Linked DNA regions of Saccharomyces cerevisiae S288C. Changing the gene in region 1 together with any one later gene gives a genetic interaction. Each region holds a gene or a part of one and is shown on either strand. Other genes may lie near its edges.

The links.
Region 2: mutations in HXT8 (region 1) and SSO2 together harm fitness more than expected from each alone (negative genetic interaction), as found in Saccharomyces cerevisiae (2 studies listed by BioGRID).
Region 3: mutations in HXT8 (region 1) and CHS1 are lethal when combined (synthetic lethality), as found in Saccharomyces cerevisiae (2 studies listed by BioGRID, with this or other methods).

The regions. Positions count from the first base shown.
Region 1 is NC_001142.9:22,649-31,059, forward strand, and holds HXT8 (hexose transporter HXT8), read left to right. Parts: upstream 1-4,238; coding exon 4,239-5,948; downstream 5,949-8,411. Other genes in the region: REE1 (Ree1p), read left to right, coding at 485-1,081; oligo-1,6-glucosidase IMA5, read right to left, coding at 1,693-3,438. UniProt on the Saccharomyces cerevisiae protein: Probable glucose transporter.
Region 2 is NC_001145.3:624,557-632,308, reverse strand, and holds SSO2 (syntaxin), read left to right. Parts: upstream 1-4,500; coding exon 4,501-5,388; downstream 5,389-7,752. Other genes in the region: RTP1 (Rtp1p), read right to left, coding at 339-3,284; ADD37 (Add37p), read right to left, coding at 3,524-4,120; MIN3 (Min3p), read right to left, coding at 6,412-6,498; RGM1 (Rgm1p), read left to right, coding at 7,142-7,752. UniProt on the Saccharomyces cerevisiae protein: Required for vesicle fusion with the plasma membrane.
Region 3 is NC_001146.8:274,896-280,397, forward strand, and holds CHS1 (chitin synthase CHS1), read left to right. Parts: upstream 1-1,606; coding exon 1,607-5,002; downstream 5,003-5,502. Other genes in the region: YNL193W (uncharacterized protein), read left to right, coding at 1-1,149. UniProt on the Saccharomyces cerevisiae protein: Polymerizes chitin, a structural polymer of the cell wall and septum, by transferring the sugar moiety of UDP-GlcNAc to the non-reducing end of the growing chitin polymer. Required for mitotic division septum formation during adverse conditions.

The DNA.
Region 1 (8,411 bases):
AGCTAGTTCAGTTTTAGTCGACTAAATACGCAGAGAGATTATTAATTATTGGTATATGTTCTGGTTTAAGTTGCTCATTCTCAACTCGACTGTGTATAGTAGCTTCTTTCTGGTATAATCTATCTTCGAGGAGAAAATTATAGTTTACAACTTATGTAAAACTGCTCAAGTTCCAACCGTATAGAAAACGCGTGGCTGGTAGCTTTATGTTCGGATTTGAGAAATTTTCGGGGAAATAAGTACCGTTCTAATTTTTCAGCGCAAATTAACATGCGGAGAAACTTTAAACTGAAAATATGGCCACCTGCATGCGTCCATATGAAAGGGTCATCAAATAGCCTCGAACAAAACAAGTAACATTTTCGATGGAGTTAGAAAGGGATGATCCTATACGCACAGATTTCCTAGGTATTTAACCTGACCTAATATTAACAAAAGTCCAAGTGACGGCTTCTCCATCAAACAAGATAAATTACCAAACACAATGGTCGAATCTAAGAATACTGAATTATCGCAAGGAACATGGCTCAATAAGCCAAAATCTGTTTTTCAAGAGGCAGGAAAAGTCACTCTGGAAACAGATGAAAAAACTGACTTTTGGCGTGAAACATTTTACGGATTTACCCGTGATAGCGGTCATTTTTTGGGAGTAGAGACAGGTAGTGCTTTTACTGCACAAGTCCGTGTTCAGGGAAGCTACGAGAGTCTTTATGATCAGGCTGGTATCATGGTTCGTATAGATGATGGACATTGGCTCAAAGCTGGCATAGAAATTTCTGATGGCCACGCAATGCTAAGCAGTGTTTTGACAAATGGAAAATCAGATTGGTCAACTGCTGTTTATGGCGGAAATGCTCGCGATTTCTGGCTTCGTGTTACTGTTGAAAAGGGCGTTTTGAGGATTCAGGTGTCCTCTGATAAAAAAACATGGCCGTTAGTACGTTTGGCTCCATTTCCAACTTCTGACCATTACCTTGTTGGACCAATGGCTTGCACACCTGAGCGTGGCGGATTGAAAGTTACTTTCTCGGAATGGAGTCTCACAGCTCCTTTAGGAAAAGCTTTACATGATTTGAGTTAGTTCACCTATATATCAATATATAAAGAGGGGTTTGCTTTTGTTAAGAACAAGGCCTGCACCTCACTAAGATCTGTTGATTTGGCACTATGCTTTTTAAAATTTTGTTTATACTCAATTTCGTCAAGATTTTTTTTACTAGTACAATCCATACAGTTAACAAAATACTGGGCAATAAGGCGTGCATACTACGAAATTTTTAGTTTTGTTATAATAAACGACTTTTAGCTAGTGTTTTAAGATAAAGTGACGAAAGTTAGGGTGAGAATAGTCGAATGTATTTACTAATTATTGAATTCGTGGTAATTAGTACTTATGATGATGGGGTTTAAAGGGCTAAATTTAGACAATAGAAACAGTAATAATGATGTTTTCTATTTTTCTGCTGTACGTTGCTTTTTATTTTATATTTCTTCGGAAAAAGGTTCAGTGAATTTTCTGTCTTCTATATACATATATAAATTGCAATTGAAAATAGCGTACAGCGTAAGTTAAGTATCCAATGCTCACATATGAAAAGCAAAAGTAAAAAGAAATATACAAGTTTATTATTCATAAATATCGGCATAACTATTTGTTTCGAAAGATCAGTACGTTTATGTTAAATGTGCTCGTTACTTCAACAAGTAAAGTCTTCCTTCCCATGGCTGCAAGGTGCGGGAATCACCATTTGAGTTTGCATAGTTGCCAAAAAACATGGTGTAGGAGGCCTCATTATCAGGAACTGAAAAGTCCGTATTATCGCTACTGAAATTGAAAACAGCAAACATTTTTTTGTTATCTGTGTCCTTTGTAAACATGAATAGCTTGTCATTATCAAGATCAATGAACTGAAAGTTATGTCCATAAACAAGGATATCTTTGTGCTCCTTTCTAACTTGTAAGGCCTTTTTCCAGAAAAAGAAGACTGAGTTTTTATCTTTTAACTCAGCTTCTGCGTTGATTCCGTCTCTAAATGATTCATTCATGTCAATCCATGGTTTGGCATCCTTCGAGAAACCTGCAGAAGGCTCATCAGCACTCCATGGGAATGGTGTTCTCCCATGATCTCTAGAGATCAAAGCTAATGCTTCAAAAAACTTTTTCATCTTTTCAGAATCTTCACCATAATCACGTTTAATGGCGGCATATGTACCAGTACCTTCAACGCATTTGATTTGCTCAATTTTTCTGTTTTTGAAGTTGGGCATACCCAATTCTTGTCCTTGGTAGATAAAAACAGTACCAGTCAATGAAATGATGAGAGTAGCCAACATCTTGGACGAAATCTCACGCCATTTAGGAGAATCTGAGCCAAAACGCGAAACGCTACGAGGTTGATCATGATTCTCCAAATAGATGGTCGACCAGCAATCTGTGTTTTCGATAAACAGAAAGCTTTCAGCAAGAGCCAGCTTAAAGTCTTTTAAAGTAAAGGGAATAAGTTCGTACTTGCATTTTGGGTTTTCACCTACTGAGGTGTGCTTGAAGTTGAACATCATATTTAGTTCTCCTTCTTTGGCACTGGTATAAACTCTGAAGTCGTCTTCATTCCCGATACCAACTTCTCCAACAGTCATGATTTCTTTACCCTCTGGAACTTGCGAGAGCATGTAGTTATGCATTTCTTTATGATACTCATGGATACGTGGCCCATTTATGAAAAATTCAGTTCCTTTTTGGTAAGGAACTGTAGGATCAGTGATAGGAGCATCGGGTAGGCCCTCAACCTTAGAATACATGCTGCCTACGTCAATACGAAAGCCATCAACGTTGTGACGTAGCCAATAGCCCACTGAGGAGTCATAAATGGCTTTACGGCACTCTTCATTTTCCCAATTGAAATCAGGTTGGCCAAGAGCAAACACATGCAGAAAGAACTCACCAGTTTTTTCGTCATATCTCCAAGCAGATCCACCAAAGAAAGATCTCCAATTGTTGGGAGGAATTGGATTACCTTTCTCATCGTAACCCTTTGGAGGTCTCCAGAAAAACCAGTCACGCTTTGGATTAGCCTTAGAAGATCTACTCTCCTTGAACCATTCATGCTCTTCAGAACAGTGGTTGATAACCAGGTCAACAATAACCTTGATACCTCTCTTATGAGCTTCTTCTATCATTTGGAAACAATCCTCATTGGTACCGTAACGTGGCCAAACCTTCTCATAGTTGGCAATATCGTAACCCATATCTTCTTGAGGAGAGTCATAAAATGGGCACACCCATATCGCATCGACACCTAATTCTTTGACATAGTCAAGTTTGGAGGTAATCCCAGCTAAATCACCCCATCCGTCATTGTTGGAGTCCTTGAAACTAGCAGGATAAATTTGGTAGACGGTGGCTTCTTTCCACCATTTAGGATTATGGATGATCGTCATGTTTTTCTTTTCAATATTGAGCACTTTCTATATAGTCATCAAGAAACAGTAGTTTTTCGCACCAAGATATGTGAACAAGTGTCCTAATTTATAATTCGTCAGACGTTTATGAACTTACTCCTCAAAACCGTATCAATTACCGTAGCGGTAATGGAAGATACAATTCTTAAGTGTGAATTACTTTTTCCGGTGAATTAGCTTCTAGGATTGTGACTATTTCAATGGACAATGTTGCAAATAGTTTCAAATATTCCCGTGTTTCTCCGAGGATTCTCCACGGAGGAAAAATAATGCAAAGTTTATTTCCCCGTTTTCTTTTCTCCGTCTAGGCATTTACGCTTTCACGCAACTTTATTATATCACCTCCGCGGGGATTCAACAACGAGGTATGTGGAGAAGGAGAGAAATTCCAGAGAAAGCAGCCTAGAGCATCCTGCTGCAGCAACTTATAAACGTATCTCACAGAAAAGGCCGGAGAAAGTTCTTGAAATGTGTAATTTAGCCTACCTGCCAAGCGGCTGGAATTATCCCGAGAATAATTCCGCGACCGGGCCTGTTCCTGAACTCTAAGAAGTTTTGGAATTTCCGAACGCTTCTTCGCATGAAAGACATGAACTCTTAAGTAAAATAATATGAACTGGCATGGTCGTAATCTTTTGGACGACGGAATATCATCGCTAACCATTGTAAGGGATGAAGCTTGACTAGATATATTTAAACGACCATTTTTGTTTCATTCTTATTTTAGATTGCATTTTTTATAAGTCACTTTTAGTTAGCTCAGAACGCCAGCAAAAACCATGACTGATCGTAAAACCAACTTGCCAGAAGAACCGATTTTCGAAGAGGCAGAAGATGATGGCTGCCCTTCGATAGAAAATTCTTCACATCTGTCAGTACCTACAGTGGAGGAAAACAAGGACTTTTCCGAGTATAATGGGGAAGAGGCAGAGGAAGTTGTTGTTCCAGAAAAGCCTGCTTCAGCCTATGCTACTGTTTCTATCATGTGTTTATGTATGGCTTTCGGTGGATTTATGTCCGGTTGGGACACAGGTACGATTTCTGGTTTCGTCAATCAGACTGATTTTTTAAGAAGATTTGGTAATTATAGCCATTCCAAGAACACTTACTACTTATCTAATGTGAGAACTGGGTTGATTGTGTCCATCTTCAATGTGGGAAGCGCCATTGGCTGTCTTTTCTTGTCTAAATTGGGTGATATTTACGGCCGCTGCATGGGTTTGATTATAGTTATTGTCGTTTATATGGTTGGTATTGTCATTCAAATTGCCTCTATAGATAAGTGGTATCAGTATTTTATTGGAAGAATTATCGCTGGTATAGGTGCTGGTTCCATTAGTGTTCTTGCCCCGATGCTTATTTCGGAAACTGCGCCAAAGCATATCAGAGGTACGTTGCTAGCTTGTTGGCAATTGATGGTGACTTTCGCAATTTTCTTGGGTTATTGTACCAATTATGGTACCAAGACTTACTCGAATTCTGTCCAGTGGCGTGTTCCGCTTGGTCTATGTTTTGCATGGGCTATTATTATGATTGGTGGTATGACGTTTGTTCCGGAATCTCCTCGGTTTTTGGTGCAAGTCGGTAAGATTGAGCAAGCTAAAGCTTCTTTTGCCAAGTCGAACAAGCTTAGTGTTGACGATCCTGCTGTGGTTGCAGAGATTGATCTTCTTGTTGCTGGTGTGGAGGCAGAAGAAGCAATGGGAACTGCTTCATGGAAGGAATTATTTTCGAGAAAGACTAAAGTTTTTCAACGTTTAACGATGACAGTCATGATTAACTCTCTGCAGCAACTAACCGGTGACAACTATTTCTTCTACTACGGTACTACTATCTTCAAATCTGTCGGTATGAATGACTCTTTTGAGACTTCAATTGTCTTGGGTATTGTGAATTTTGCTTCTTGCTTCTTTTCACTTTATTCTGTTGATAAGTTGGGCCGTCGTAGATGTCTTTTACTTGGAGCAGCCACCATGACGGCGTGCATGGTTATTTACGCCTCCGTTGGCGTCACAAGACTATATCCGAACGGTAAAAGTGAACCATCATCTAAAGGTGCTGGTAATTGTACGATTGTTTTCACGTGTTTTTACATTTTCTGCTTTTCCTGCACCTGGGGACCTGTATGTTATGTGATTATTTCTGAAACATTTCCATTAAGGGTGAGATCCAAGTGTATGTCCGTTGCAACAGCGGCCAACTTATTGTGGGGGTTCCTAATCGGGTTTTTCACTCCTTTTATTACTTCGGCAATTAATTTCTACTACGGTTACGTTTTCATGGGTTGCTTAGCGTTTTCATATTTTTACGTCTTTTTCTTTGTTCCAGAAACAAAAGGTCTAACTTTAGAAGAAGTTGATGAGATGTGGATGGACGGTGTATTACCTTGGAAATCTGAATCCTGGGTACCAGCTTCTAGAAGGGATGGTGATTATGATAACGAAAAATTACAGCATGACGAGAAACCCTTCTACAAAAGAATGTTTTAGACCGGTGAAAACACACGCAAGCAAACTTCAAAGTACATTGATAAATAATGTCCAATGCCCTCTGTAATATAGGGGCTTTTTAATTCCTAAGACTGATTCGATATATTAAACACCAGGGCTACTGAAGACTGACAGTCACGTTGAGTCCTATTATATCATTTTACTCACAGAAGATTTGGTAATATGATACTTAGATGGGCTTAACAACAAAGTGTTTTCTTGATGTTACTGCCCATGAAAAAAAGCAAATCAAATTAGTAGGCGGATTGTTAACTTTGTTTATTTTGAAACCCGTCAGGACTACCAAAATATAACAAAGTATTGATTATCGTCAACGCTTTATAGATCACTTTTTTTTTTTTTTGAGGAACCGATTAATTAATACATCGTAGCCTCTGCTTATTGCATAACACAACAAAAAAATACAATAATACGCAACTTTTGTTTATAGAAAAATAAAAATGGAACATATGATATTCTCTGTTCGTCATATGATAACTTAAGCACTTTCGTGTGTACATAGGTATTCTAGTGCATTGGAATGAGATCAATTATGATTTCCTAACCCAGAATTTATATTACTAATGATTTCAGAATTAATAAAAGCTGAAATAAAAGGAGTAGCAATGTAATAGGAAATAAACGAGGGCACATAGAAAGGAAGAAGAAAAATTACATTATGTGGAATTATTGATTCCCTTGGCAATTTCCCATAGTCTCATGAAAATTCCTGGCCTATTCTGTATTCATAATTCCATACTCTTTTTTAACAATGAAACTCCGGTAATTACCACAATATTTACTTATATCTCAATACGAACGCATGTTCTCTTCGAGGAAGACCAGCATTAGCGCTAAGCGCTAAGCGATGAGTTGACTTAATTTTTAAAAGGACGATGTTGGCGCGTTAGTGCATAAGAAAGTCAGCAAATCCCTTTAAGCTGAAAACCTTGATATATTTCTCGGCCTTTAATAATGGCGCAACTGATTTTAATTATCTTTGAATGGCTTATCTGTAACGAACATGTGTTACTAAACTAGTAGTAAGTTAGAAATACTGTTTATCCAGAATATGTAAGTTGGTGCTTCTAAAGTAATATAAGACCGCTTTAATTTGTTGTAACCTCTGAAATACAGGTAACCGCTGGGTCATCTCCTATCTAACTTTTGGTAAAAATGACATCGAAAAGAACAATTTTCGAAATATTCAATTTGTTCGGGTGTCGGTTTAATGCTCAAGGCCCCAATATTTCATAATAGGATTCTAAGAATTGCAGAAAATTCAGCTATGTTTCACCCATTTTGTTATTGGTGAAAACCGCCAAATCGATATCGATATAGTCACATTTTAGAGCGTGCCGATAGTCTCTAAACTTACACGAACGTCATTATTTGTAAGTAGACAACTGGGAATTTTAAAAAAGGTTGAGAAGATTCGTTTTATAAAATATGACGTCGTAAAAGAAGAAAGTGACAATACTGTTGCTGCGGGTTAAAAAAATAATTCTCCTACAAGCTTGAGACCTTTATTACAATTCCTACCTAAATTGGCTCTTCAGGGGGGTTTTCTAGGCAGGTATCTCTAGAATTTACTCAAGAAGTTTATTTTCTAGTGCCAAAAAGTCTACTGCTGATATTCGCTTCTACTGATTAAGAGCTGCTTTAAACCATCTTGTTGCAACATTGAGTTTGGACTTAAAGCCTCAAGTTGTTAGTGATGTTGCTTTTCAGGATGACGTGTAGTTGATCATCTTACAGAAAAGGAAGCAATGGTACGTATAAGATATTATTTTAAATGAGAAGTAGCTGGTCTTCAAATCACAGACATTGTGATGGCAAAGCAGTGATAAATAAAGTTTTCACACCCAAAGCAACATCTTTCCAAACCGTTTGTGTGCCGTGGTGAACAGATAGAAGAGGGCACTGTTATTCAAATTTTGAGGGTCGGGAGAATTAACTCGTTAATTATTCCTGGTGTCGAATTTGCGTCATTCCTAAACTTGGATATTCTTATATGGCAAAAAAAGAATTTTTTATGCCACCAACACGACGGCATATTCTGGAGTGATTATAGCCACTGCTAACAAGATAAGGCGGTAACACCCGATTGTGCAGATGTCCTCATTTATCCTGTTTCCGAGCATTTGATTAACCGTCTCTGTGAGACCAGTTAAAGACCTCTCTCAAGAAAAATATGTAAATTTTTTTCAGCCACTTTATCGGCACTGGAACGAAACGATATGGTATTCCCAGTATCAGCCACGGCCCCGTGTAAGCCGTAAAGTAAACAAAAATTTTTACCACTAATTTCGTTGCGTATCAATTTATACTATTCTTTGTGAAAACCTACACAGACTACCAACAGAAATTTTTTTGGTCAAACGAGTCCAGTCTGGTTATTCGCTGGTTCATGTAAAATGTTAGCACCATCTACAGATTCCGAACATTAAAATCGTATTATGC
Region 2 (7,752 bases), on another chromosome or scaffold:
AAAAAGAAAACAAGAGAAAGAATATATCACAAAAAATATAATGCATGTGTTCATGTCACTTACGGTAGGCAGTTCACATGCCACTCTTTTTATACAAATCTCCTCCCTCATTACCCAACGCTTGGTGGAAGTTCGAGAAAACGAGAAAAATTGTTCTTTCACCTTCTAGAAAGAAAAGTGCCCAGAAAACAGAAAGGCGGGTAATAAAATGCATCGGCGGCTATTTTAACTTTCTATTGGTAATGGCTGCTGTTCTATGAATACAAAAAGAAAGAATATAAAAGAACGTAAATATTAATTTTGCCTAAGAAGCAAATTATAATCAAATGCGTAATGGGTTATAAACTATCTAGTACGGTTAAAAGCTTGTCAATCTGTTCACAAACCATGTAATCTTCATCTTGATCACGAACGTAAGATAATAGTGTTTTTAGCTTATCGTAGTTGTACTCAAAGGGAAGTAAATCAAATCCTGTACTGTACAACAAATCATGTATCAAGTGTACGGCACTTCTTCTCATCAAAAAAGAATCATCCTTGTCCTTCAAATGATTTTGTGGTTGTTCTAATTGCAATATTCCAAATACACAATCCAGCATATCGCGAATTCTATCCGAGACACCCCTGGCGTTGATTTGAAGGCACATACCTAAGATTGACATGGATGACATACGCCATCTATTGTCCAATGGTTTACTATCATTTGGCCTCACAATACTAAGACAGGTATCTATAATCAGATAAGCCAATTTACCCTGGAACAATTCGTTCTGACGTTGAATGTAATTGATGAACACTTCTCCAACTTTCAGCACATCATCTAATCTGTTTTTCTTTTTTTTGTTAGCATAAAATTCTGCAAGTAGAGGCAATATGGTTTCTGGCTCTAATTCACATAGCGTTGTAAGTCCTTTAATAACGTTGAGATAAATGAAAGGGTCCATATTCTTTAAATAATCTAAATGTATTTGCAACACCTTTTCCAGTGAAATTACTGGAGACTTCTTTTCAGCTAGATGACGTAGTTCTGTTAAACCATAAGATTTTATGGGCACTAAAGGATCATGTAGACTAGTTATCGCTTTGTCAAGCCTTTCCTCATCCATCTCAATTTCTATGTTGTCGTTCCTTTCCGTAGTATGTCCGTTAATCAATATATTATCTATTGATGCCAATAATGCATCTATTTCGGAAGCATTAGTGTTGAAAGATTGTAATTTTCTAGAAATGGATTTCAATATATAACTGTTTTGCAATAATATACTACTGGACGATTCTGAAAGGACGGTTGATAATAACTGCAAGATAATTTTGTAGGAAGAATTTTCATTTGGATCCAATTCTTCTGTTTCTTCTCCTTCTTCAACTTCGTCGTCAGAATCTGCTTCTACTTCCTGTATTGTTTCATCTTTTTCCTGAACAACATCTATCAATTGATCAATAACAATAAGAACGTCCTTAGGTTTATTAACAATCTTGGTTTTAAATCGGTTGTTCATACATTCCAAAAGTTTCAAGTCCATGAGTATTAACGCGTTATCTGTAACGCTTGGCATCCCGCTATGATTATCGGAAGATCTTTTTTCACTTTTTTTTGTATGATGGACCCATCTTTTCAGAATATCTAAAAATAAAGTCTTTGATTGTTCCTCATCATTTAGCAGCACTAAAAATTCCATAAATAATTCTATCGAAAGGTCCATATCTTGAAGAAACTCAGAAATTTGAGAGTTTTTGGATCCTTTTTCGAAAAACAACTCTGCCATATCTGTGTTTTTAACCGATATGTAGGGTAGCTGAGTATCAAGATCAATTAAATACTTCCATTTCTCGTGCTCAAAATTCAGTAAGTTAAGGCTCAGTACATTTAGATATTGAAAATTTTCTGTTATGACTATTAGAGATTTTAATAATGATAATACAACCTCGTAATACTTTGAGGAAGATTGCTCTGGAAAATGTATGCTGTCTGTGCTTTTATTATCTGAAATAGACAATTTGTTTATTTCTAATGGGTCTAGTTTTTGGTTTTTCTTCAAAAAAAGAGCATATATCCATACATATAAAAAGAACTGTCCAGGCGTAGTACCGTCTTCATCAGGGCAACTAGTAACTAAATCATTCAGCAAATCCGATGAAGAATTTTTGGATAAAGATATAAGAACGTTTATAACATCGTTCAGTTCCTTTGCTGTATGATCAGTTAACGGGGAATTAAAGATAATGGAGCGGACCTTCTTAAACAAAAAATCGTTAACAATCCTCTTATTCCTCAGGTAAAATTTAAGGATTAGTCCGTTCAAACAAGTGACCAGGATAGGCCTGTTCACAAAGGTGAGACCATCATAAATTTGCTTGAATAGTTCCGTCAAGTATTGCAAATTTGTCATTGTTTTTGGCTTACTCATCAAAATTTGGTAGATACGGTTAAACTTTTCAATATCTATATCTTCAGCATCTCTCACACCCAAAACGAAATCAATCAAGCTGATCAGACCATTTTCCGGTCTTCGTAGAGTTAACGTTGTTAACTTCGAAAGGATTGGCTCCCTAACCTTTTCGTCTTGAATTGTTTCTACTAGTAGAGTGTAAACCCCAAACAAAGTATAAGTTTCTTGAGTATCTTCTAGATTTGTAATCATTTGTGAAGAGTACCTATTAGGCAACTGCAAATGTAACACAATCAAACCTAATAAAATGTTTGCGTAAGCACTGCCTTTTGATATTATTTCTCTCAGGTAGTCAGAAGACCTCTCACTAGTTAGAACATTATAAAAGACAGTTATGACTTGAGATAAAGTATCGTTATTTATGGTGTGCCATCGAGGCGTTTCATATTCTGCGCTTTTTTGGCCCTTCTTGAAAGTATTTATTCTTTTCGAATCGAATGGAATTTTCATCGTAGGAGACAAATTAGCATCTATACCATGAATAATCAAAAGATTTATCAGTTCGTCTACGTATTTCATATCATGCAATGAGATAGGCAATAAGTCACTTTTACTTTCGATGAGCCTCCGTTGCTGTTCTAGTACGTGAATGTGCAAATTCTGGAATTTCTGTAAAAGTACTGCAACAAACTCATTGTTATTTGAGCACTTCAACGCCTGATAAATGGAAGAGGATGATGATGAGCCTGAATCAAGAACATATTCGTTTATGGGAGTAATTACATTGTCATCCAGATCTTCGAAGAAAACATCTAGGGCTGTCTTTTTGGTGAGCTTCGGTCTTGTATTCAATATATCGTGTATGTTGATCTTTTGCTCTTTATCCTCATTCATTTTCCAACCTTTTGTTTTTCTTGATCTGATATGACAAGAAGAAACATGAGGCGGTGATGAGCCCTTATTGCTATATGCTGTTCGACGCGATGAGATGATTACATGTTTTTTATTAAATTTCTCAAGCAGACTGCGGGTAACCTTGATTTTTAATTATTCAATAGGAATTCTTTTTTTTTTTAGAAAATAAAATGTTCTGCGTAGTGTACTTCTATTTATAAATATAATAATATTATTGATTAATTAGGCATCGCATTTTCAAAAATTTTTAAGAATGCGGGACACCAATTTGAGATTGTTGTGTCAGTAACCATCCAATGTTTAATGGTTTTCACGGCCATATTTTTGTCTTTTTCATTGAAAATCTGGGATAGTACTGTTTTGGTGTGCTCGTTTTGTAAAATCTTGGTAATGTTTGAATCTAATTTTTTCTTGTAAAATTCCAACTCCTTCGAAGAGAGCTTCGAGCCACACACACAGAGGTCGTTGATCTTAGCCACTAATTCTTCTTTACTGCATAATATCGGCTGGAGCTGTCTATCGCCTTGGTCTTTTACGAGCACACCTTCACAGGCAGATTCTTGTTGAGCAGCAGTTACAGATGGCCTCCTCAAAACTGGTGGCGGCGTAGTAGCTGTTTTAGTGTTCCCATAAAGATCTAACACTTCTGTGGCAAGTCTGCCGCTAACACATCTTTTCGATTTCGTTCTTTGTTTAGATTTGGATCTAGGTCCGCTATTAGGGTCGATAGAAAACAAAACTGTCGGACAGTCGTTATAACCAGGCACTTCAGCTTCTAGACAATTCTGAAAACTTTTGGTTGGTTTAATAGCCATCGTACGTAATAGTATGTGCGGAAATAGATTGACGAAGAACCGACAGATGCGCGTCTACTGAAGCTCTTATGAGTAGCCTGTGTGAATAAAGAAGCCAGCTAAAAGTAAATATGTGGCATCTTTATGTCTTACGAGCCGGGTACCAAGCGGCAGCAAAGGGTCCCCCCTAAACGACGTGCTTATCACCCGGCCGTTGTTTACGAAATGGCCTTTTTTGACGTTTTTAGTTTCAATGGATGGATGAAAAAAGCAAGTAAAATGACAAATAAATGCTGTTGGCAGGTTAAATCGTTTAATATACCCATAAGAGAGCTGGAATAGTGTGGAATTGTAATACTTTACATTTGAAAACTGCCCATACACGCACAAATATTGCAGCAATGAGCAACGCTAATCCTTATGAGAATAACAATCCGTACGCTGAAAACTATGAAATGCAAGAGGACTTGAACAATGCTCCTACTGGTCACTCAGATGGTAGCGACGATTTCGTAGCTTTTATGAACAAGATCAACTCAATAAATGCTAACTTGTCCAGGTACGAAAACATTATCAACCAAATTGATGCGCAACACAAAGACCTACTTACTCAAGTGAGTGAGGAACAGGAGATGGAATTGAGACGTTCTTTGGACGATTACATCTCTCAGGCCACAGATTTGCAGTATCAATTGAAAGCGGATATCAAAGATGCCCAGAGAGACGGATTGCACGACTCTAATAAACAGGCACAAGCTGAAAATTGCAGACAGAAATTCTTAAAATTAATTCAAGACTACAGAATTATCGATTCTAACTACAAAGAAGAAAGCAAAGAGCAGGCGAAGAGACAGTACACAATTATCCAACCGGAAGCCACTGACGAAGAAGTGGAAGCCGCCATCAACGATGTCAATGGCCAGCAGATCTTTTCCCAAGCGTTGCTAAACGCCAATAGACGTGGTGAGGCCAAGACAGCATTGGCCGAAGTACAGGCTAGACATCAAGAGTTGTTGAAGTTGGAAAAAACAATGGCTGAACTTACCCAATTGTTCAATGACATGGAAGAGTTGGTCATCGAACAACAAGAAAATGTGGATGTCATTGACAAAAACGTCGAAGACGCTCAGCAAGATGTAGAGCAAGGTGTGGGTCACACCAACAAGGCCGTTAAGAGTGCCAGAAAAGCAAGAAAAAACAAAATAAGATGTTTGATCATCTGCTTTATTATCTTTGCTATTGTTGTTGTCGTTGTGGTTGTTCCATCCGTTGTGGAAACAAGAAAGTAATAGAGCACATGCGCCTCCCTCCCGCCAGCCCCCCAATTCCTATTATGTGTAATCAAACAATTTCTATTAAAACCGAAAACCTAAAAATTGTAACGTCTTTTCTCTTTCCTACTATACCCTCCTCATACCTGCCTTTTTAACAATTAGTATTATAATTTTTTTTTTTCACAAAAAGACAATACCGACTATCTAATAAATAATTTTAATACGTATGTAATTTCGTTAAGAACAAGAATTTTTAAGTAAAAAATCTTACTTTTAAGAAAAACTGTCGCCCTTAATATTAGTCCCAATTTTGTAACGAAAAATAAAATACAAATCGGGGTGGAAAAAGGGAAATTTTACAACATTATTATTCCAAAAACTAGTTTTCAAAAAGTAAATCGTGGGGGTATGAACAACAATTGTTGTAGTCGCAACTACGGTAATTGGTCCTAAAAAATTATTCTCCGGGAAAAAAAGAAGAAACAAAGAGATCCCGAAACATAAGTCCCGTGATTCTTTTTGCCCCCCGCTTTCTTTCGCCAAGAGAAGAGCAATTTATTGAAAGGCTTTTCTTGATGTTTTTGGGTTGTGAAAGCGTTAATAGCGCCAAGTTAGAATAGTAAATATCACAACTACAATATCTACACTTCTCACTTGCGCATTAACCTGCACACGTACTAGACTTTATCTGTCTTGATTGTTACTTCTAGACCAATCAACATTGAAGCGCTCGGCAAATGCTTGACAAGAAAAAAAACTAATTTTCCCTTCGCCTTTTATAGTGCCCATCGGATAGGATATTCCATCTTTGTCTTGCGCCCACTTCGTTGTCGTTACCCGCACGTTGTGTTTTTTGAGGGCTTGAGCAAATTCTTACAGTTAAGGTACAATAGTTGTCTCGAAGAGCAGTACATCAACGGCCTGACGACCTACAGTAGCACTTTCCTTTAAGTGTATATAAACTTTCCTTTTCGGTAAGGGATGCAGGAGAAAGGGCGAGTTTTGTTTATATGCGATCCTTTATGGTAACCTTTGCGGTTAATTCAGCATTATGGTTGCTGATGCACACTTAACGAGGGGAAGAAATATTATGTTACATGCATGAAACGCACTCGGTTTTCTCATGGTCTTTCTTTTTTCGGGATTTCTTTTAATAATATCTTTAAAGTATTACTGGTAGTCGGTCTTTCCCCACACAAAAAAAATTAAAAAAAAAAAAAAAAAAAAGAAACTTTCCGGCGCTCCTTCAGGAGTCTCGTAACTGATGCTTTTTCTCTTCCTAATATTAAGATAAAAAAAAAATTAAACACCGGTAGCAACTTCTCGAGCCATAGGGTCCTGCACACCCTGCCATGTTACCGCACGGACCATTAAGTTACGTGGATGCCGGACTCTCAAGCCATGAAAAGTTTATCTTTATTTAAGTAGAGTTTTTCCTTCTTCTCAAATTTCTGAGAATTTTTATCTTCGATCATTCCCTCTTTTTTTCTTTTTTTCTTTTTTTCTTTTTTTCTTTTTTTTTTCCCTTCTCTTACTTTCTTATTTTTTTTTTTCATTCCTCAGCGGATCCCTTCAATCGTTTATAACATTATTTTCCTTCTCTTTTCTTTCATTGTATCTTCTTGATTTCAACTATTGTTTGTGTGTATATGAACAGACGCCTCCTTCTCTTTCTTTCGTGTATTCTTGATTCAATTGCGACTTCATAGCACTATTCCTCCCCACTCACGTCTATAGTCCAGGACAATTAGCATGACACTGGTTAAACATGAGAGGAAAACAACCGAAAAGGAACAAAGACAACGCTTCTGTCAAGAGAAATTATAGATGCGTGGGATATCCTGATTGTAACATGAGTTTCAATAGGACCGAACATTTGGCTAGACATATCAGGAAACACACAGGGGAGAAACCATTCCAATGCAATATCTGCCTTAAATTCTTCAGTAGAATCGATAACTTAAGACAACATCAATCTTCTGTTCATTCGGACGTTGATTTGATGTCCTTACGTAGACTGCAGCAGTCCGCAAATAGCACTGCGAACGACCCTAACGCAACAAGAATGTTCCCGCAATTACGCCCATATGGAATTGTTGTCCAGCCCGCGCCTGTTCCATACAATCTGCCCATATCAACTCCTGCTAGCCCACAAGACACTATATCTCTTTACGCACCACCATACTTCCCTCATCCTATGCCATCTGCTCCCATACCATTGCCGCATCAGCCTCCTCCACTACCAATATACAGCTATATGCAACCACTCTTCCTGAACCACACTCCCATACAAAACCACAACATTGTAGAGCTCCCTCCAGATAGCAGTGACACTCCAGCATCGCCGTCTAAGGTGCAAAGTTTTGACCAGGCCAAGGA
Region 3 (5,502 bases), on another chromosome or scaffold:
TTGACAAACAAGTATATTGAAATCTTTCAACACCTGGTTAATTATCTGTTACAAGAACTACAAAACTGGAGTGAAAATGCAGAACAAGATTCCGATGACACAGATACGGAATTGCAAAGAGATACTTTGGATGAAGACGCGATGCAAGTTACCAGGGACGGAAGTGGTATCCGAACCAATGGACCTGTACAACCTCCAGCAGAAGTTATGGACGTTTCTGAACAAGTGACTCCGTCTTCACTTACCGAAGTACTCGCCAACTCTTTAAAGTTCAACCATGCTTTGATGGAATTGGTTATTGAGTCGAAAATATCTATTGAAAAAAATGTCGAAACGAAAATCTTGAATCCTATTCAGATTAATTTCTTGGAAGATACAACCAATAAATTCTATTTACAACTACGCGACATTATAGACTCCATTTCCGCCGCCATTCCATTAGATTTGAAGGAAATCGGTTTAGCCAAGACTTTAATTGAAGGTTTGAACATCATTAGCTCCGGAACCTTCGAGTCATTGCAAGATTTTGTTCTGCAAACCGTCTCCTTTACCGATCTGCTTGATGAAAAAGATGTACAGGGTAAGATTGATCTTTCGTTGATTAGAGTTGATATCGTTGAATTTGCCATTCTATGTTTAAACGATTATTCTTCAGATGCATCTTGGAAACTCTCTGGGTTATTGACCAAAGTTCTTACAGAGGCTAGAACTTTATTAACAGACTATAGAAATCAAATCTTGTTTCTGAAAAATCAGACATTGAACGAACAATTGAGTCACGTAGTTTTTCAACTTTGTGATGTCTTAGTAAATTCCTCCGATAATGAACTGAGAAGGTACGCTATAAAAGAATCAACTGAAAAGTCACAAAAAACCCCCGGGGGAGCGCATACTTTAAACATATTGATGAAAAACGCTAACGTTTTTCTGAATAATGCTGTCGCTATCTCATCAAAACAGTGCGGGTTACAAGAAACGATTATTGATAAACTGAAGAGGAACTATATCCATAATCAAGCCAAGGAAAGACTACTTTTCTTACAGAGGCTGGAACAGAAGTCAAATGAGGATGACGGTACTTCTGCTTCGCCTACCGCAATGACGTTCGATATGCCACCAGAACACCCTTTTTATAGCCACTATCGGTAGTGAAATTACGTACATATACATAAGTAGAAGATAATTCGTTGCGCATATGCTACAAGAACCCTTGGTGAAACGAAATTTGATACAAGTAAATACATGCAGGAAACATACATTACCTCTGAAACAAAGCCGAGACGGGGCCCAGCAGTCTTTTTTTAGAAATCGCGTGGCTTGGTAACGCGATAATGACGCGACACAGCCATTAGTGTGAAATTTGATTTTCTTGGCCAAACTAGGTATAATATTTGTTACAAATTATTGATTTTAATATATATCTCGGGTTCATTTTTTACGTCGGTACTCCAAAGGATCAGAACACTTACATTTTGAGGCCTACCGGACCTTGCAGTACTGCTTGTTTAAATACGCAGTATACATTTCTTCTTCTTCTTCTCTCTTCTTTCCTTCCTCGAAGAGTCACTAAATTAATACTGGGAAGCCAAACCAAAAAAACTATACAATGAGTGATCAAAATAATCGATCGAGAAATGAATATCACTCAAACCGGAAGAATGAACCTTCCTATGAACTCCAAAATGCACATAGCGGGCTATTTCACTCTTCTAATGAAGAATTAACAAACAGGAACCAAAGATATACCAATCAAAATGCCAGCATGGGTTCATTCACTCCAGTCCAATCTTTGCAATTTCCAGAACAATCTCAGCAAACAAATATGCTTTATAACGGTGACGATGGCAATAATAATACTATCAATGATAACGAACGAGACATATATGGAGGTTTTGTCAACCACCATCGCCAGCGTCCCCCACCAGCAACTGCAGAATACAATGACGTTTTTAATACGAATAGTCAACAGCTACCGTCGGAACATCAATACAATAACGTACCTTCATATCCACTTCCTTCGATAAATGTGATTCAAACCACTCCAGAACTCATACATAACGGCTCACAGACTATGGCCACCCCCATCGAAAGGCCCTTCTTTAACGAAAACGACTACTATTATAATAACAGGAACTCTAGGACGTCACCGAGTATTGCTTCTAGTAGCGATGGTTATGCAGATCAGGAAGCTAGGCCCATTTTGGAGCAACCCAACAATAACATGAATAGCGGTAATATTCCTCAATACCATGACCAACCTTTTGGATACAACAATGGTTACCATGGCCTACAGGCAAAAGATTACTATGACGATCCGGAGGGTGGTTATATTGATCAGAGAGGAGATGACTATCAGATTAATTCATATTTGGGTAGAAACGGTGAAATGGTTGATCCTTACGATTATGAAAACAGTTTAAGACATATGACTCCTATGGAGCGTAGAGAATATCTTCATGATGATAGCAGACCCGTAAACGATGGAAAAGAAGAATTAGACAGTGTGAAAAGCGGTTACTCTCATAGAGACTTGGGGGAATATGACAAGGATGATTTTTCAAGGGATGACGAGTACGATGATCTCAACACTATTGATAAATTACAGTTTCAAGCTAATGGTGTACCTGCATCATCCTCGGTGTCTTCTATCGGATCTAAAGAATCCGACATAATAGTAAGCAATGATAACTTAACCGCAAATAGAGCACTAAAGAGAAGCGGTACTGAAATTAGGAAATTCAAACTTTGGAATGGTAATTTTGTTTTCGATTCTCCAATCAGTAAGACGCTATTGGACCAATACGCTACTACAACAGAAAATGCAAACACTTTACCAAATGAGTTTAAGTTTATGAGATATCAAGCAGTTACTTGCGAACCTAATCAACTTGCAGAGAAGAATTTCACGGTGAGGCAGTTGAAGTATTTAACTCCAAGGGAAACGGAATTGATGCTAGTAGTCACAATGTATAATGAAGACCATATCCTGTTAGGAAGAACTTTGAAAGGTATTATGGACAATGTCAAATATATGGTGAAAAAAAAAAATTCAAGCACTTGGGGGCCGGATGCATGGAAAAAGATTGTCGTTTGTATCATTTCAGATGGTAGATCCAAAATTAATGAACGCTCGCTAGCATTACTAAGTTCGTTAGGTTGTTACCAGGACGGGTTTGCTAAGGATGAAATTAATGAAAAAAAAGTGGCAATGCATGTCTACGAACATACGACAATGATCAACATCACAAATATTTCGGAATCAGAGGTTTCATTAGAATGCAATCAAGGTACCGTTCCAATACAACTTTTGTTTTGTTTGAAAGAGCAAAATCAGAAAAAAATTAACTCACATAGATGGGCATTTGAAGGCTTTGCAGAATTACTGCGTCCCAATATCGTTACATTGTTAGATGCTGGTACCATGCCAGGTAAAGATTCTATTTACCAGTTATGGAGAGAGTTCAGGAATCCAAATGTTGGTGGCGCATGTGGTGAAATAAGAACTGATTTGGGTAAGAGATTTGTAAAGCTTTTGAATCCTTTAGTTGCATCACAGAATTTCGAATACAAAATGTCCAATATTTTAGACAAAACAACCGAGTCTAACTTTGGATTTATTACTGTTCTACCGGGGGCATTCTCTGCGTATAGGTTTGAAGCTGTGAGAGGCCAACCATTACAGAAGTACTTTTATGGTGAAATTATGGAAAATGAAGGTTTTCATTTTTTTTCTTCCAATATGTATCTTGCTGAAGATCGTATTTTATGCTTTGAAGTGGTCACAAAAAAAAATTGTAATTGGATTTTGAAATACTGCAGAAGTTCTTATGCTTCAACAGATGTACCGGAGAGGGTCCCTGAATTTATTCTTCAGAGGAGGCGTTGGTTGAATGGTTCATTTTTTGCTAGTGTATATTCCTTTTGTCATTTTTACAGAGTCTGGAGCAGTGGTCATAATATTGGTAGAAAACTCCTTTTGACGGTTGAATTTTTTTACCTTTTCTTCAATACATTGATTTCATGGTTTTCATTGAGTTCATTTTTCCTAGTCTTTAGAATTCTCACTGTTTCTATTGCACTGGCATACCATTCAGCATTTAATGTGTTGTCCGTCATATTCCTGTGGCTTTATGGGATTTGTACCTTATCAACATTCATACTGTCATTGGGTAATAAACCTAAAAGTACTGAGAAATTTTATGTTCTAACTTGCGTCATTTTTGCGGTGATGATGATTTACATGATATTCTGCAGTATATTCATGAGTGTCAAATCCTTCCAAAATATATTGAAAAACGATACCATCAGCTTTGAGGGTTTGATTACCACAGAAGCTTTCAGGGATATTGTTATCTCTCTGGGCTCCACTTATTGTTTGTACCTAATCAGTTCAATTATCTATTTGCAGCCATGGCATATGTTGACAAGTTTTATTCAGTATATTTTATTGAGTCCTTCTTACATCAATGTTTTGAATATCTATGCATTTTGTAATGTCCACGACTTATCATGGGGTACAAAGGGTGCAATGGCAAATCCGCTGGGTAAGATTAATACTACAGAAGATGGTACGTTCAAAATGGAAGTTCTGGTCTCTAGTTCAGAGATTCAAGCAAACTACGATAAATATTTGAAAGTTTTAAATGACTTCGATCCAAAATCAGAATCTCGGCCTACTGAGCCATCTTATGATGAAAAAAAGACTGGCTATTATGCAAACGTTAGATCTCTCGTGATTATCTTTTGGGTCATCACAAATTTCATCATCGTTGCTGTTGTCTTAGAAACCGGTGGGATTGCAGATTATATTGCTATGAAATCCATATCAACTGATGACACTTTAGAAACTGCAAAGAAGGCGGAAATTCCCTTAATGACCAGTAAGGCCTCAATTTATTTTAATGTAATTTTATGGTTAGTTGCATTATCGGCATTAATAAGGTTCATTGGTTGCTCAATATACATGATAGTAAGGTTTTTTAAAAAGGTTACATTTCGCTAAGTAGATTGATTACCCCTTTGTTATAAATAAGTATATGTGTTTACTATCATATAATAATTAATTAGTTGTAAGTATGGTATTTTTCAAAGAAACATTTAGTATTATTTTTAAAGGGTGCCTTTACCATAAAACCAAAAAAAAATGGCTTCTGAGAGAAAAACATAAATAATTGATAAAACTGAAACTCACAACACCAACTCTTCCGCTCTAAACACCCAAAGCTCAAAAAACGACATGTGCACATCTATATCCATAAACTTTCAAAAAAGTGGTTCATTCGCAAATTCATGAAGTATTATTTAATACACAGTAATCTGGCATTTCATACTATCATTGCTCAAATTATCCGCCGGACCCTTGAAACTGTGGCGCTTTTTAAGACGCATCTCCAAAAAAAGAAAAAGAACAAAAGAAAAAAAGCTGCAAATATATATACAAAACAGATTTCACGTTTATTGCTTGGGAGTAAGGTAACGATCCGGAAGCCTTGAAGAAATTTG